Linked DNA regions of Drosophila melanogaster. The protein of the gene in region 1 interacts with the protein of each later gene in a pairwise test. Each region holds a gene or a part of one and is shown in the gene's direction. Other genes may lie near its edges.

Region 1 (4,361 bases):
AGATCCAGATTTAGCGAGCTAGTCATGCATCGCCGCAAAGCCCGTCGATTCCGACCCGATAAGCCCAGTCCGAGGAGGTGGGGCCGAAAAGTGGGTTTAGACGGTGGCGGCTTATCGAGTGGCGATAAGCGGGACACAAGACCCACTTCCCCACACATTGTCCAGTGCAGGCCTCGCAGTCGCGTCCAATTGGCCAAGCCGTTCGGTAACGGAGCATTTTTGACGAGGATCGACATTCCGCGGAACTCCAAAGAGGATTTAATTTTGAACAGATTTTGAGCATCTTGGGACACAACATGATCGCAGCGCTCGGGCTGATCTTCGGCATTCTAACGGCCTTGGTGGTCGTGGCACTTAAGCTACTGGGCCTGAAGCCGCCACTAATCTTCGGCAAGTACCCACTGAAAGGCATCTTTTACCGGGTGAAGTTCTGGATCGCCCTGCTTGTCCTTCGCCGCCTGAGGTACCGCATCTACCGTCGGAACGAGGAGCTGCTCGGCTCCGAGGAGCACCTGGCCAAGGTCGACAGGCCGCAGCAGCTCAGCAACGACCCGAAGAGCTATGACGTGGTCAGCTTCATGGCGGCCAACAAGGAGGGCCAGAAACTAATGGTCACCTTGGAGCGAAGGAGGCGCGGAGTCCTCAAGGCGGCACTGTACCTGTGGCTTCCCGAAAGCGGCCTGTTCAGTTCGCCGAATCTGCCCGATATGGTATACTTCACCACCGCGGATGGAGCGGAGAGCAACGCGTTCCAGGGTGGAGGCTTCCACGTCTACCAGGAGGCATCTATGCGTGTGTGGCGGCTCAAGTACTCCGGACTGCTGAAAACTCAAGGGCCGGACGTGCAGGACGTAGCCGTGGACTTGGACCTCCGTTTCGAAAGCTCCTCCGCTGAGCACTTCGACTACAACAGAGATCTGAGCAGCGCCCTGATAGCCGACTCCATAGCCAGAGAGGCCTGGAACGAAAAGTTCTACAGCCTGCTGCGCAGCGTCAACCACATCGTAGAGAAGCGCACCCACTACGAACAGAACGGAGAACTGGCCGGCCAGGTCACGCTCGATGGCAAGGAGCTGGCGCTGAAAATGGTGGGCTTCCGGGACCACAGCTTCGGCACCGAGCGCTGCCTAAGCTCCATCAACCGGTACGTGTACTTTGCCCTCTTTATGGACGATGGCAGCAGCATGGTGGTGGGCAGCCTCAGTCAGCCGTCCTTCTTCCTGTCCTCCCTGAAGGTGGGCTACGTGTGCAGCCCCGAGCGGCAGTATCAGCCGCTGACCGGGAGCAACTTCGAGCTGTACTCGTACGGCGAAAAGGGAACGCCGCCGCAGCACCAGAATTTCATTGTGCGCACCGAGGAGCGGGAGTACCTCGTGCAAATCCAGGTGGAGGCCTCCGCGCTGCGCTACGTCGGCGGCGACTGGGAGTCTAAGGTGTTCAACCAGTTTGTGGCCTGCACGGTCAACGGAGTTCCCGGCCAGGGCCACGCCGAGTTCCTGTACCGCCACAAGGGCGGCAGGCCGGAGGATATATCGTCCGGGGACCCCGGCTGGTACCAGGACATCAAGCGCTTCGAGAGAAGCCTCTCGTTGCTGGAAGAGGAGGGCCAGGACGAAGACTTCATCTTCTAGGACGCCGACGAATTGTTTTTGTTTTCAGTTTAAGATAGCATGTAAAAGTATGGGGGAGACCCATCCTATCAAAATAAAGAGATTTTGTTTGAATGACATTCGAGATTCTGAAGTCATTGGCCGCGCTGATGTCATCGGTAAGTCCAAACTAATTCAGTTAACCAACAATCCAACAGCAATATCCACTGGAGGCCATCCGGTGCAGCTGCAATCTGGTGGACTCGGGTCGATGAGGAAGATTACCGAATCGCTGGTGGAGGAATTGGACCCCCCGTGAGGATTAGTCGCCCATAAATTAGCATGCGACAGACGAACGGATTAGATTGGACAGCTACTTCGGTTTTTCTCCCAATAAATAATGGCGATTCGGGCCATCGGTTTATGGCACCCAAAAGACAACGGGCCCCACTTATCGCTCCGTCGGGCCAATAAAACCCAAGACCAGGCACCAAGACTGGGCCCAAGTGCCCAGGTGTCGCAGATAAGAGGCGAGCGGCGGGGCAGATAGCTTCAATCCAACAAAATAAACCATGCTCGGGATCTGAATGGAGCATTATGCTGCCGTCCGGTTCCGACCTGCCGCAATGTCAGCTTATGGTGGGCCGATAAGTGCCGGGCATGACCCTCCCTTCAGTGTCCAGTCCACAGCCCATATCTGGGCTCATGAGCAGGTAGCTCCGATAACGCAACCGCCGACAGATATTGGCCACCGATTTGCCCGGAATTCGGCAAATCATGCACTGTTTCTGGAATTCGCCTTCATTAATTATGCACGTAACTCTGAAGTGGTATTCCTCGTAGGCGAAATTATTTGTTAGATTACGCAGTTATTGTAATCAAAAATGCGATTGCTTCTGGGCAAATCCAAGGAATCATCAGCCGAATTTTCGTTCCCAGTAGTAGGCCGGTTTCTGTGGAAATCAAGGAACAGCTTTGATCTAGCATAGTAGTTTCCAAGTGCCCAGTCGCAGAGCTGGAATATACTTGTAGATTTATATACATATATGTTGCCAAATTTCGAAGTTATTGCACCGAATTGCACAATGATTGGGATGGCTGACAGCGCGGAGGGGGTTACCCAGGAAGACAGCCACACGGAGTCGAGGGCAGACGGCATCAGCGGGTCCTTGCGCTCCCTGGGCACATATACCCAGGAGTCCACAGAGCCGGCTTTGAGTCCGGCGGACCTTCCCGCCCGCAGCCGGAAGGCCTTTCTGCGGCACATGATCGGCCAGCTGGCGGAGCCCGTGCAGAACCGCATACGGGCACTGCGGCACAATCAGCTGCAACAGGTACGCATTTCGGAGCAGTTCTTCCGGGAAGTCTACGAGCTGGAGCGACGTTTCTACGGCCAGAGCTGCGCGCTCTTCGATGCGAGGCGGGATATTTTGGAGGGTTCGGTGGAGCCACCGATCCAAACGGAGAAGACCTGGCCCGAGGACCCGCAGGATGCTCTGTACCTGGACTTCGGGAACAACGAGGAGCTGCGACAGCTGAGGCAAAAACTGGCTCCGGTTTCGCCGACTACGCTGGGTGTTCCACGCTTTTGGCTGACAGTTTTCCAGAACGTGCCCCTGCTCTCGGAGTTGGTCCAGGATCACGACGAGCCGCTTCTGGAGAGCCTAATGGATGTGCGCCTGGCTTACGACCAGGACAGCTACATGGTCATCTTTCAGTTTCGGCCCAATAGCTTCCTGCACGATTCCTCGCTGCTGCTCACGAAGCGCTACTTTCTGCAGCACTCGGCGGACCCGGAGTATCCCTTTCTGTTCGAAGGGCCCGAAATAGTTCGTTGCGAAGGCTGCCACATCCACTGGCGCGATGGCTCCAATCTCACTCTCCAAACGGTGGAAAGCAGGCGAAGGAACAGAGCACACCGAGTCACCAAGGTCATGCCTCGGGAGTCCTTCTTTCGCTTCTTTGCTCCGCCGCAGGCCTTGGACCTGTCGCTCGCGGATGAAAAGACCAAGCTGATCCTTGGCAACGATTTCGAAGTGGGCTTCCTGCTACGCACCCAAATCGTCCCGAAGGCGGTGCTCTTTTACACGGGCGACCTAGTTGACAGCCTGAGCGCGGCCTCTCCGGACAGTCGCTCCTTGTCCTCGGAGGCGGAACAGGAGCAGGTCTTGTGAGTGCGACGCGACTAGCTGTTTGCTAAACAAAATTTACAAGTGAATGTGGTAATGATTTCTTATTAAATTCTACAGTTCGGCCAAAGCCAGTTCATCACAAATAAGGTGAACCCCTTCCCCTCCTAGCGCTACTTAAAAATGCTGGTGTAGTACTCCTCCTCCAGGTCGTACAAGTCCATGGCCATTTCGTCCCTAAGTTTCATCAGCTTCTTGTCGCACTCGCTCTGTGTGTTCCTGAACAGCTGCGAATTGTTTGTGATGGCCTCGTTGACCGAGTGAAAGTCGTTGAGGATTAGGTACTGTTTTAGGTCGGCCACCAGCTTCATCAGAGACTCGCCGGCACGGACTATAAAGCGGAATGCATGAAGGAAATGGCTCGAATCTGGTTCCCAGGGAGTGGATTTACTCACCCATGTTGGCCGCGCGGACCTGCATTTCCAGGGCATCCTGTTCGCACTGCGTGGTCTTCGAAATCTGGCTGTGGCTCTCACGGCGCGCCAGCTTGAGTATTTCTGGAGGAGAACACGGTATTACAATCTATTGCTCGGAGCAACTGAGCCGCACTTACCTTCAAAATTCTCCAGCATGCTGCGAACGT
Region 2 (5,566 bases), about 14 Mb from region 1:
CACCCAAACACAAGCTAATCCAATATATGTCAGTTTTATTCATTAAAGGCAAGAGGAGATGTGAAACCTGGGCAAGACGTCGCCGCCACCTAAAAACAAATCAGGAGCATAATTTTCTATGTCTCTACAAAAGAACTTTTTTGTCAAGATACCCTTATACTTCATAATTTTACATATAAAACATATATACATATATATATTTATATTTATGTATATAATAATATTTGTGTATATATTTTTATTTTTAATATAATACATACATTTACATAAATATATATATATAGATATATATATATATATAAAAATATAGATGTATATATATATCTATATATATATATATATATTTAATAGCAAAAGCAAACGAAAATTATACAATTTAAAACGCAATTTTTTTTATGTTTACCTATAGTTGATTTTGTTTAGCGAAAACAAAAAACAAAAACAAAAACAGGCATTTGTACATAACAAGCCAGCAATTAGTTACCAAATTAGATATTAACTAAATTAAGATATAATAACATTGTAAATAAATATAGCTGTAAGCCCCGTAGCTAATGCTATACTATCTAAGTTAGTCTAGTTTTGTAAACTATTCTATCTATCATAATAATAATAATAATTTGTATAAGTGCAAACTGAACAGAGAAACCTTGTAGCCCAACTTTTAGCATAGCATAATTTATTCAATTCAACTCTGAAGCAGCGCTATTTGTCGACCGACCGCCCCCGAAAATGAAGAACAAAGCCACATTGGATGGATCTCGATGTGGTTTCGCTTTGATTTCGTACCTTATGATCATTTTAGTTAACATTTCGAAATATACAAATGCTAAATTGATTTGCAGACAGACCCTTAACTTTCTATACTCTAAGCAGACAGGTTTCAAGTTCTCAACCGCAAACCAAGCCGCCATCACACTGAAAACCAATTGCAGATACAAATCAAACGAGCAATTCAAATAACTCGATGAACCAAAACAGAAACACAGCCAGCAAACCAGTCGCAGCGAAAGAAAGAACTTTAATCTGAAAGAAAGGAACTTTATACATATAGAATCTATAGAAGTATGTGCAATTAAGTGAGCTAAAACTATACCTTAAACCTTGTAAAAATCGAGCCTTCACTTGAATCCTTCAGTCGACGAGAGCAGTGGATTCAGGTGGAGTTAGGAACATCCCCAACATCCATGTGCCCCAATCCCATCAGCTACGATTATGGCCGTACTTTTAACTAAGCAAATCGATGGAAATTTATATCTCGCCTCACGCCCCCCCTAGCATAAATGGCAAACGCGCATTGCAAATGAAGAGCGAACGATCTTTATATACATACATATAAACACACACACACACACGCCCAAACACATATTATAATTAGTGATTGATATAATGTGAACGCAAACATCTGTGTGCGTTTGTCGTGGATTCGCATACGGAAGCGGGAGAATGCTTTTAAAAGGCAAAAAAAAAAGTTAAATAAACTAATTACGAACCCTTCTTCGAACGCCCAGCCCCGCCCCGCCCCGCCACAACACTCACATATAAACTTGGCATATTATAATATTGATATAAGCAAACAAAAAACAACAAGCGAAATGATAAGAAACCCACTATTTTAAATCGAAAGCAAAGTAAATGAAAAACAAAATAGCATAAGTGAATGTAATTGCAATGGAATGATGCAAATATACATAAAATATATATTTAATTTTAAAATCTATGTGACACTCTTTCCATTTCCTCGTTTTGGGTAATTATTCGCATTCAAAAGAAGGGTTTTTAAATAACTTTGTTTTGTTTTTGAAATTGGGAAAATACTATGGTGAACCCAAGTTGTTCAGTTTACATTTCCCGTTGCTCAAACTTATTTACCAATTATTATATCATGGTCAAATATTCTTAGAACGAACGGATGACTTAATTAATGATAATAATAATTTTGAATCAAATTTAAAGCGCTAACGGTTCGGCGAAGTGATATCGATAACACGCGCGGCGTTGCCACCTCACGCCACACAATTTGACTTTTGCGCTAACGGAAGAGGAAGAGATCGCGAGAAACGACGCGTTTAAAAGAGACTGAAATTAATTCGAGAATCAAGGGAAATATATAACAATAAACGCCTGACAAAATGCTGAGATCGTCGGTGCCCGTGCAGCTGACAAAACTGCGAAATAGCGCCGAGGCCGTGGCGTCCATTGCCCGCGAAAAGGGATCCCAAGGTGGCCAAGGACAAAAGCAACAGGTGGACAAAGAGCTATCCACCATCATGGATGACTTGCAGCGGGATTACGGGAATTACAAGTACACGGTATACCGGTGCGCCAGTAAATTTGTGGCGCTGCAAAAGATATTTCACAGTGAGTCAGTCGCGTAGGTGGTCCATTCGAAGGAGTCCCCAAGGATTAACCTTCAAATTGCAGCTGGAAAAATCCCCTACAAGCTGGTTTTGGCCATTTTGGATCGCCATAACTTGAGTGGTGGCCTGGAACTGATGGTTCCTCCATTCCAGTTGACCTCCCTGCTGCACGATGTATACTTTGCCTGCGAGAAACTAGGCCATTTCAACCAGGATGCGAACTATAAACTGGACAGGGCAACCGGGCTGTTGGCCAACTTCTTCTGGAATGTCTACGATCCGTGGGTTGAGTTTCTGGCATCTTAAGAATATGTCTGATATTTGATTGGTTTCGCTAGGCAACGCAGACACTCCATATCCCTGTTAGAGATCAGGATCACCTTCATACTGCTGTGCAAGCTATATAGCAGCGATCACCTGGTGGGCGACATCTTTGGCCTGCTGGCCGATCCCAAGTCGCAGATCATCTCCAGATATGCATTCGAACAGCTCCTAGCCACGCTGAGCAAGTTACTCAGCTATTTGGGCGAGGCCAAGGCCTATGGCGTCCACAATCTTCCGTTGGCTATGGAGCAGTGCTTTGCCCGCTGTCCGCATGGCGTTGGTGGACTGACCGAGCCGCAGTTCCACAAACTCTGGACGGGAGCGGGTGTCCAGACGAGATTCCTGATCTATGGCAATCTGCTGGCACTGGTGAAACGCATCGAGGACACCGAGCATTTGATTCACAGTAATTCTTGTGCCGGCTGCCGCAAGGAGCACATTGTGGGCATACGTTTCCGGTGTCAGGTGTGTAGGGATATATCGTTGTGCCTGCCCTGCTTTGCAGTGGGCTTCGCTGGTGGTCGCCACGAGCCGGGTCATCGGATGTGCGAGGTCTTCGTGGAGGATCAGCCGCCATTGCGTTGGACCCGCCACCTGGCCAGGCTGTGCGGCTGGCTGGTGATGCCGCGCAAAACACAGGAGGAGGAGCGTCGCGGCTTCTGTAATGCGCAGGAGAGTGGGCCCGCCTTGGGTCAATCCGCTGCCACGCCCATTCCCGCAGAGACGCGCAGTGTGCGCAGTCAGTGCCAGGAGAAGGACCGCACAGTTGTCCTGCAGCAACAGCAGCAGGAGCTCTGCTCCCTGACGGGTCTAGCCAGCGAGGCGTCCAGCAGGCTGCAGTCCATCATCGATCGATTGCTTTTGCAAAATGCGTGGGTGTTTTCCCTTCTTTCGCCACACTTGTTAGCCAAGCCTTAAGGTTCTCTTGCATTTCAGGAAGCTGGAAACCCAGCTGCAAACAGTGGCCACCGCATCTAGTTCGGAAATATCGCAGTTTCTGAGCGCCCATCAGTGCTTTCTGCTGCAGATTATCGAGGATATGCGACAGCTATCAGTGAGTTTTCCAAACATTCGGCCCATTTAAGCTGAGCTAACTCCATTTATATACACTTGCAGCATGCCTCAGCGGTAACTTCGCCGCCACCTGCGCCAGCTGCCCAAGTGGCGCCTTCAGCTGCGCCCCTAGTCAGCTCCACGTTCCTTAGCTCCAGCACGCCTCAGCGACAGATGCTATTCGACATGTATGCGCCCGTGGGTGCCAATCTCACGCACTCCAGTAAGAAGAGAACCTTCAACAGAGCCATGAGACAGCTCCACTAAGTTAATCGTTTCTTGTAGTAAATGGCGCCGACTTGAATCGCAGCTATCTGGAGGCAAACAAATCGGATTACTCGCTCAACGACATAAGCTTGTGGTTCGACCAGCGTCGCTCGAGTGTCCAGCCAGGACAAGGACCTGGTTCCCTGCCGGCTCCTCTGCCGCTGCCCATGCCGCTGGGTGCTCTACTGGAACAGCAGCCGGCAAACGGCGGAGATGGCCGCGACACCGAGATGGTGAACTTTAAGCTGCTGCTGCACAAGGTCAAGGAGATCGTCGAGGACTCGTACAGCGATAATGCCGAACTGTCGGCGGCCACGCAAAATCTGGAGAACGTTCTCGATAGCATCATCAAGAGCGAGGAGCAGCAGCGGCGCATCAGCACGTGAGGATCCGGATCGGATACCAACTCCCATCGATTCCAGCCAGACCAAGTCCACTTAGCTTTAAGTTGTAAAGTTGTTCTAAAGTAATCGTGACAAAATGACACAACCGAGTCATGCATTTATTATATCCTTCTTCCTTTTCCCATGTGCTTTAACATTCGCGTAAATGCTTTAATTTGTAAACTTACAACTCTGACAAGAATGCAATACAACAAAATGTTTTTATAAAAATATACAATGCAAAAAACACATTGTTAACAAAGCATTTACATACAAAATATCAACTTTGTAGATTTTCCAATGCAAAGAGAAGAAAAAAAAAACGCATTTACGCCCCATTGTCATCATCATCATCGGTGAATAGCATAGAAGCCAACACATCGCTGGCCATTTGTGCCTTGTGGAGCTGCGTCAGCTGCTCCCGGCGCTGCTCCACACTGGCTGCCGGCTCACTCAAAACCTTCCAGGCGTCCATCTCCTCGAACAGACTGTTTAGCAACTCCATCTCCATGTCGGCAGGCGACATGTTGTGCTCAGCGACCTCTAGCACATTGAGGTTGCAGTGCAGCTGGAGGAGATCGCGCGTCAGGCGATGCAGTAGCAGACGCAATCGATCGTCCGTTCTGGCGTACACATGCCAATGCTTTCCGGGATCGTCGCGAAGCAGCAAGGTGTCACACCACTGTGACTGCGGCTGGCGATTGTAGAAAATACGCTGGACAGGATCGGCGGCGATGTTGGAAGACTGAAAGTGAGACCCAGGCTCACTGTCGTCCAGCAAGTCGGAAGCTGTAAGGGATTATGAGTTAAAAGGGACAACAAGTGGTCTTGACAAAGCTACTCACTCGGCTCCTTGTTTGCTTCCTGGGCTTGGATCAACTGAAACTGCAGCGTGGAGACGAGTAGCTGCTCGAATGTCGTGCAATCCTGGGCCGACTGGAACTCCAATTTCAGGGAGCAACGTGCCGTGTGCGTCATAATAACGGCCAAAAAGTCTTGGTGCAGCGTGGCGGGCGAAAATGTGGGTGCCAACGATTCTGTTTTATCGAGCAGTTTCTTCACATCGAAGGTAATGAGATGGATTTGCCTAGGGGATGCATCCTCGCCCATCTCGTACGTTGCCATCAATATGAGTTTCTCTGCCTCAAGAAGATCGACCAGACGCAGGCTCACTACCAT
Region 3 (5,645 bases), on another chromosome or scaffold:
TGTTGATTTTGACACCTTTCGGGCTGCTGCATTGTGTTCCTCTTTATTTCCATCTAATAAATGCATTTGTGCCCTTTGTTGGCTGCATTTTTTACGGTTTTCATTCCTTTTTGCGAACTCTGGCGGGGGGTCATCAACTGCCGAGTCCTCCAGTTGGCCACTTGACTGCCGCTGGTCCTGCGGCCAGAGGATATCTTTATTCGCTCATTAGCAGCACGATTGTGCTGGCTGCAGGTCCTTCGAGTCCTGGAGCTCCTGCGGTGAGGTACTCAGCTCAGTGGGCGTGTGAAATTACCGAAAATACAAGGTAAATTGCGTTTTCTTTCAACTCAATTATGCTTGATTCGTCGAAATGTTGGCCGTCTGATTGCAAGGATTCTTCTAACCACAATTGATTAAATAGATATCAGAGTATTACTTCTAAATATTTATTTAATTTAATATTTTTGATATTTATATTTAATATTTATCATTTCGACCAATACTTTTTTTACTTATAATGAAGCTTTCACAAAATCAAAACTAAAGCTCAGATGCCGAGTTTCAAATCGAATTAGCTACACACACGTTTTGCAGATTAGACCGCAAATGAAACCGACTCAGCTAAAAATCGCTGAACTTTCGACAGCATTTCGCCTTGTAATCAAAATCCATTAGTCAACATAATTACGCTTTAATGGACTCGAAAGTTGTTTATGCCTTGCGTCGATTCGAACCGAAAGCTATGGGTAAATATGCGTGGCTTAATTAGCGGCCATAAAAATTTGATAGATTTTAATCTATCGCACAAGCTGTTGTTGTGCTCTCGCCGATTCCTAGCCCATTAATCTCAGAAATCCGGCGACGAATTTGACGGCTCCGGCTGATAACAGAGTGTGAAAATAGCACTACCGAATATTATTCCATTGTTTTTGAAAAACTCTTGGGGTTTGATAGGAAATGTTATAGTGTTGACCGAGGAAACGAAGTGAGACATTTGGCACGTCCCGACAATTGATGAACCTGCTCTGATTTTGATTTGGAACTGCGATTCGGACACTACATAAATTATGCAAACTTTGTCGTGTGCCAAAAAAAAAATGTAATGCCTGAAAATTAACATTTAAATCGTAGCGAAAAATAAACCCGGTAGCACATTTCATAAAACTGTCCCGATCAAGTTTCGTAGATGATTTATGGAAACAGCAAGTTTGAAGTGCATCCGTGGTGTGGAATTGCTAATGTGGACTGGATTGTCAGCTGTACGAAAACCGGGACGTTTTAAAATAGGGAAAGTTAATATATAATATCATAAATTAAATAAGTATTTTAAATTATAAATTTTACGCCATGTTGTTGAATGGGGTTTACGAACTTTAAAAACACCATTAACAAAATACTTATATTCCTTAATCTTTAGTTTTATGCAGAAATATATAAAGAGCGTCTAACAAATCCTTGCTAAACTATAAATTTGCACAACAAAAATCCCCCTGAGCAAGGGAAATATTTAAAACGCACATCCTCTGTAAGCCTCGAAAACCCTTTTCGAACTTCCTGCAAATTTGGCCAGAGTCCGCAAACAGAGACATTTTGCCCACCTGGCATTAGATTTCCATTTAGCGCTCGTTCCGGCCCAGAAATGCAACCGCAAAAACAAGAACTATGAATGGCAGTTTAAGCCAAATTACACAAAGGCCAAGAGCAACAACAAAGTCGTATAGTGGTGGCTGTTTGAACGGAAGCCATATGCAGAAAATTCGGTAAAGGCAGCGCACCGAACTGGACCCGCCCCTCGAAAAGCAGCCATTTCACTCGCTCCTTCGCAGCTAGGCCATATCTGCAGGGTAGATAAAATCCACAAGGCGCGCGCAAAGAAGACGGCCATACTACACCGAGCACAGTGCCTCCCGCTCTGGCCCGATAAACTGGTTTGGCCTGTACTGGCGAAGAGAGAAGACTCGCCGCAGCTCAGCTCTCTTCGAGTAGCGCACACTTGGTGGTGTTGCCGGGCTTACCGGATTTATTCAGACATCGAACGTCGTCGAGAGCACACGTCTATATTCTCCGTCTTCCGACACAAAAAATAAGAAAAACGAGCGCGTCGATCGCCGTAGAGCACAAGTCTTGACAACCCGAGTGTGTGTGTGATTAATAAAGTAACTAAACGTATATATGAAAGCGTTTCCAATGCGTCGCTTAGTGTGAGAAAATCAACGAAACATAGAGAGTTACAAATAAGGACTTCCCAGAGGATTAGACAAACAGAACAGATTAGATTAAACAGAAAACCGTGCTTAAACCCTCGAAAAAAAAGCCGCCAACATAGCCGAACTAACCGCCGTATTTATGACTAAGATGATTCCGCCGGTTCCCACCGCCGCTGCAGCCGTCATGATGCCCACACCAAAGCAGAAGATCGGTTTCAGCATCGAGTCCATTGTGGGCAATGATGTCAGCACCGCCGGCGGCAATTCGACGCCCGATCTATCCGGTCCCCAGAGTCCGCCGCCCGGCGAGCGCAATGTGCCCGGTTCGCCGCCCCAAACGCCACCAGCCACACTCACCTTGATCCCAGGCTCGCCCCCGCACCATCTGATGGCTCCTCCTGCCCACGGACTGCCCTATCCGCATCCGCATGCTCAGCAGCAGCATTTGCAGGCACCACATCCGCATCCGCATCTATCGCCTGCGCAGCAACATGTGCTCCACCAGCACCTCCTCATGCAGCAGCAACATCCGGGCACACCCAAGAGCCACCAGGACATTCAGGAGCTGCTGCAGAGGCTGCACCACAATGCCGCCATGGCCAGCGGCCTGAGTCCGCTGCAGACACGCCTCTCCCCCGAAACGGAGCAGCCCCAGATGGCCGTCTCCCTCAAGCGGGAACGCTCACCTGCACCACCTGCCATGGAGCAGGCCGAGAATCCCGCCCAGCGCATCCAGCCACCGCACACGCCTCCCAAATCCGTGAGCCCCCAGTCCTCGCAGCCCTCGTCTTCGCCCACTCTGCTGATCAGCAGTCCACATGCCACACCGCCACAGCAGCAACAGCAGCAGCCGCCCCCGAATTATCCAAAGCCCGCCATGATGCATCCCGGAGGAGCTGGACCCATGATGATGCCGGGCATGCCGCCCGCTGGACTCGTTCGCCCCTTTCCCATGGGACCCGGAGGACCACCGATGCCGCAGGGTCAGCCCGGCTTGCCGGACATCAAGGCGCTGCCGCCCTACATCAACGCTCCGCCGGAGCTGCCGCCTCAGCACAATCCGCATCTCATTGCCGCTGCCCAGTTCCAGATGGCCGCCGCCCTGCAAGCGGGTCATGTGCTTGGTCCAGCGGCCGCCGCCGCTGCTGCCGCCGGCCTGCCGCCCCATGCCGCCCAGTTTATGCCCAATCCAGGCATGGCCAGGGATAGCTATCAGCTGTACCCCTGGCTGCTCAGCCGCCATGGAAGGATCTTCCCACACCGATTCCCTGGAAGTAAGTATCTTTTGGAATGATTCTTTATATGCGAAACAAAAAAAGGAGATTTAGGGAAAAAAATAGTTCTTGGAGTCCAAATTGAAGCCAAAAAATGAGAAATTTCTTTAAAGTAATAATTCTAAACCTTCATAAATGTAATAAGAAATGAAAGATGCTAATATGTTTTAAATTAGTTTTGATGAGTCTCTTATAATTGCATTATATTGTCATTGCTAATTTATTGCTGTGAGTTATGATCTTAAATACCGATGACTAACCGAAACCCTTTCTTCTTTGCCTCTTTCAAGGTTTCCTGGTGCCCCCGTTCCGCAAACCGAAACGCATCCGCACCGCCTTCTCGCCGTCGCAGCTGCTGAAGCTGGAGCACGCCTTTGAGAGCAACCAGTACGTAGTGGGGGCAGAGAGAAAGGCCCTGGCCCAAAACCTCAATCTGTCCGAGACGCAGGTGAAGGTGTGGTTCCAGAACCGACGCACCAAGCACAAGCGGATGCAGCAGGAGGATGAGAAGGGCGGCGAGGGAGGATCGCAGCGGAATATGCACAACGGCAGCGGCGACGAGGACGACGACGAACTGATCGACATGGAGATGGACGAGTGTCCCAGCGATGAGGAGCACGAGCTGGACGCCAGCCACTGAGAGAAGCGGCCAGGAGATAGTCCTGCGGCGGTCCGTGAGTTCCTTATCCTGGCGAATGCAGTCCAGTTCCAGTTATCGAGGGTTCCCAGTCGAATCTCGGCGAGAGTAACATAGTTTGTTTTGTTGTGATATATTCTTAGAGCGATCCCAAGGCGTTAGGCTAAGTGTATATAGATAGGAAAGTATTAGAGACCCTTTCTCTCCATCCACACTTCTCTCTCAAGATCCGTGCCAAATCCTTGCGAAGTTTCGAGGTTGAGTAGAGCTCAAAGAATGCAAGTTGTTTCCTTTCTTTCCCAAATATCAAATGCAAAAAAAGAAACACTGAAAAAATAAACCTAGGCTAGACACCACCAACTATAACTGTACAAATTTTATGACTTAAGCCTGTAAATATTCATGACATTACTTTTAATTAGTGAATTCTTCAAAACAAATCGTACTCGATCCACTAGCTATTGTATAATTCTTGTATATTGTATGACGATCTAGCATTTATTTATGTTTAGTCTTAAGCACGAACCTCTAGAGTCCCTCAACTGCAGCTGGATATTATTTAAAGCCGTCTAATATAAAGCCCTAGTTGCTAGTAACTACATCCTAAGCTAATACGATTGTAAGAAACACAAACGAATATGATCATATAAAATATAAAATATTCATTATGAAAAGAAATCGAAAGAGAAATGTTTGATTGATTTATGTGTTGGGGGCAACCACTTATTATCCAGAATACTAGATAATTTATTTATAATTTAAACAATATTGGTATGTTTTGAGTTATGGGTGTGAACTTTAACTTCTCATTCAGCTTTATTACTTTCCTTCAACAATATTTTACTTTAGTTTATTTTTTCTTGTTTAAGCCTTGGCATCTCCGCCCCTTTTTAATTGAGTTCGTCCCACTGTGTGACAGAGTAAAAAATTATGCGCCGTCAATTAATTAGCGTGTGACATTTAACATTGTTGTTGCTGTTTCTGTCCACTGGAAATGGTGACAGGTGCGCTGGAAAAGGGGATTGAGGGGGTGCGGCCGCGACTGAAAAGAGCGGGATAGCTGAAGGAGGCGGCTATAAAATGCATTTAGCGATCGTTATTTCTTATAGATTTCATAAGCATTTTAATTGCACAATTTAAAATGCAAATCGTGTTTTATTGTAGAATTTAATTGAGCGCAGTTCGTGTGAGATCAAAGGGGCGGGGGTGGATGCTGAACGGGGGCTTTTGGGGGTTGGGGTGGCTTTGGAAACTGGTTAACAAGCCACTCGAGGTGTGCTAATGATCTAAAAGCCAAATTTATGATTATTGAACCACAAATTTATGCGAAAACTGTGGCGGTATATAAGCGCAGTTTTCATTATCGCCAAATCGGCTATCAGCTAACTGAAATCGGCTATCGAATGTGGCCTAATGAATATGCAGTGGCTAATTGCAATGGGCAAACTGCAAACTAGATTGGTCCGGCTGATATGGCTAATTAACGGACATAACGAGTCTAATTACTAGCTGTTAACAGCACTAAATTGTGGCACTCTGTCAAAG

Evidence for each region. The genes of interacting proteins can lie anywhere in the genome.
Region 2: the proteins of CG3708 (region 1) and dah interact in a two-hybrid assay, tested with the Drosophila melanogaster proteins (one large-scale study listed by BioGRID).
Region 3: the proteins of CG3708 (region 1) and ems interact in a two-hybrid assay, tested with the Drosophila melanogaster proteins (one large-scale study listed by BioGRID).

The regions. Positions count from the first base shown.
Region 1 is NC_004354.4:928,298-932,658, reverse strand, and holds CG3708 (uncharacterized protein), read left to right. Parts: upstream 1-2,560; 5' UTR 2,561-2,674; coding exon 2,675-3,763; 3' UTR 3,764-3,861; downstream 3,862-4,361. Other genes in the region: CG3706 (uncharacterized protein), read left to right, coding at 297-1,631; MED22 (mediator complex subunit 22), read right to left, coding at 3,892-4,109, 4,174-4,275, 4,332-4,361.
Region 2 is NC_004354.4:15,326,312-15,331,877, forward strand, and holds dah (discontinuous actin hexagon), read left to right. Parts: upstream 1-2,030; 5' UTR 2,031-2,132; coding exon 2,133-2,361; intron 2,362-2,424; coding exon 2,425-2,641; intron 2,642-2,698; coding exon 2,699-3,556; intron 3,557-3,620; coding exon 3,621-3,738; intron 3,739-3,800; coding exon 3,801-3,960; intron 3,961-4,022; coding exon 4,023-4,390; 3' UTR 4,391-4,691; downstream 4,692-5,566. Other genes in the region: CG9114 (uncharacterized protein), read right to left, coding at 4,716-5,176, 5,233-5,566.
Region 3 is NT_033777.3:13,899,851-13,905,495, forward strand, and holds ems (empty spiracles), read left to right. Parts: upstream 1-2,002; 5' UTR 2,003-2,328; coding exon 2,329-3,463; intron 3,464-3,753; coding exon 3,754-4,103; 3' UTR 4,104-4,770; downstream 4,771-5,645. UniProt on the Drosophila melanogaster protein: Acts as a homeotic selector gene controlling antennal and mandibular segment identity.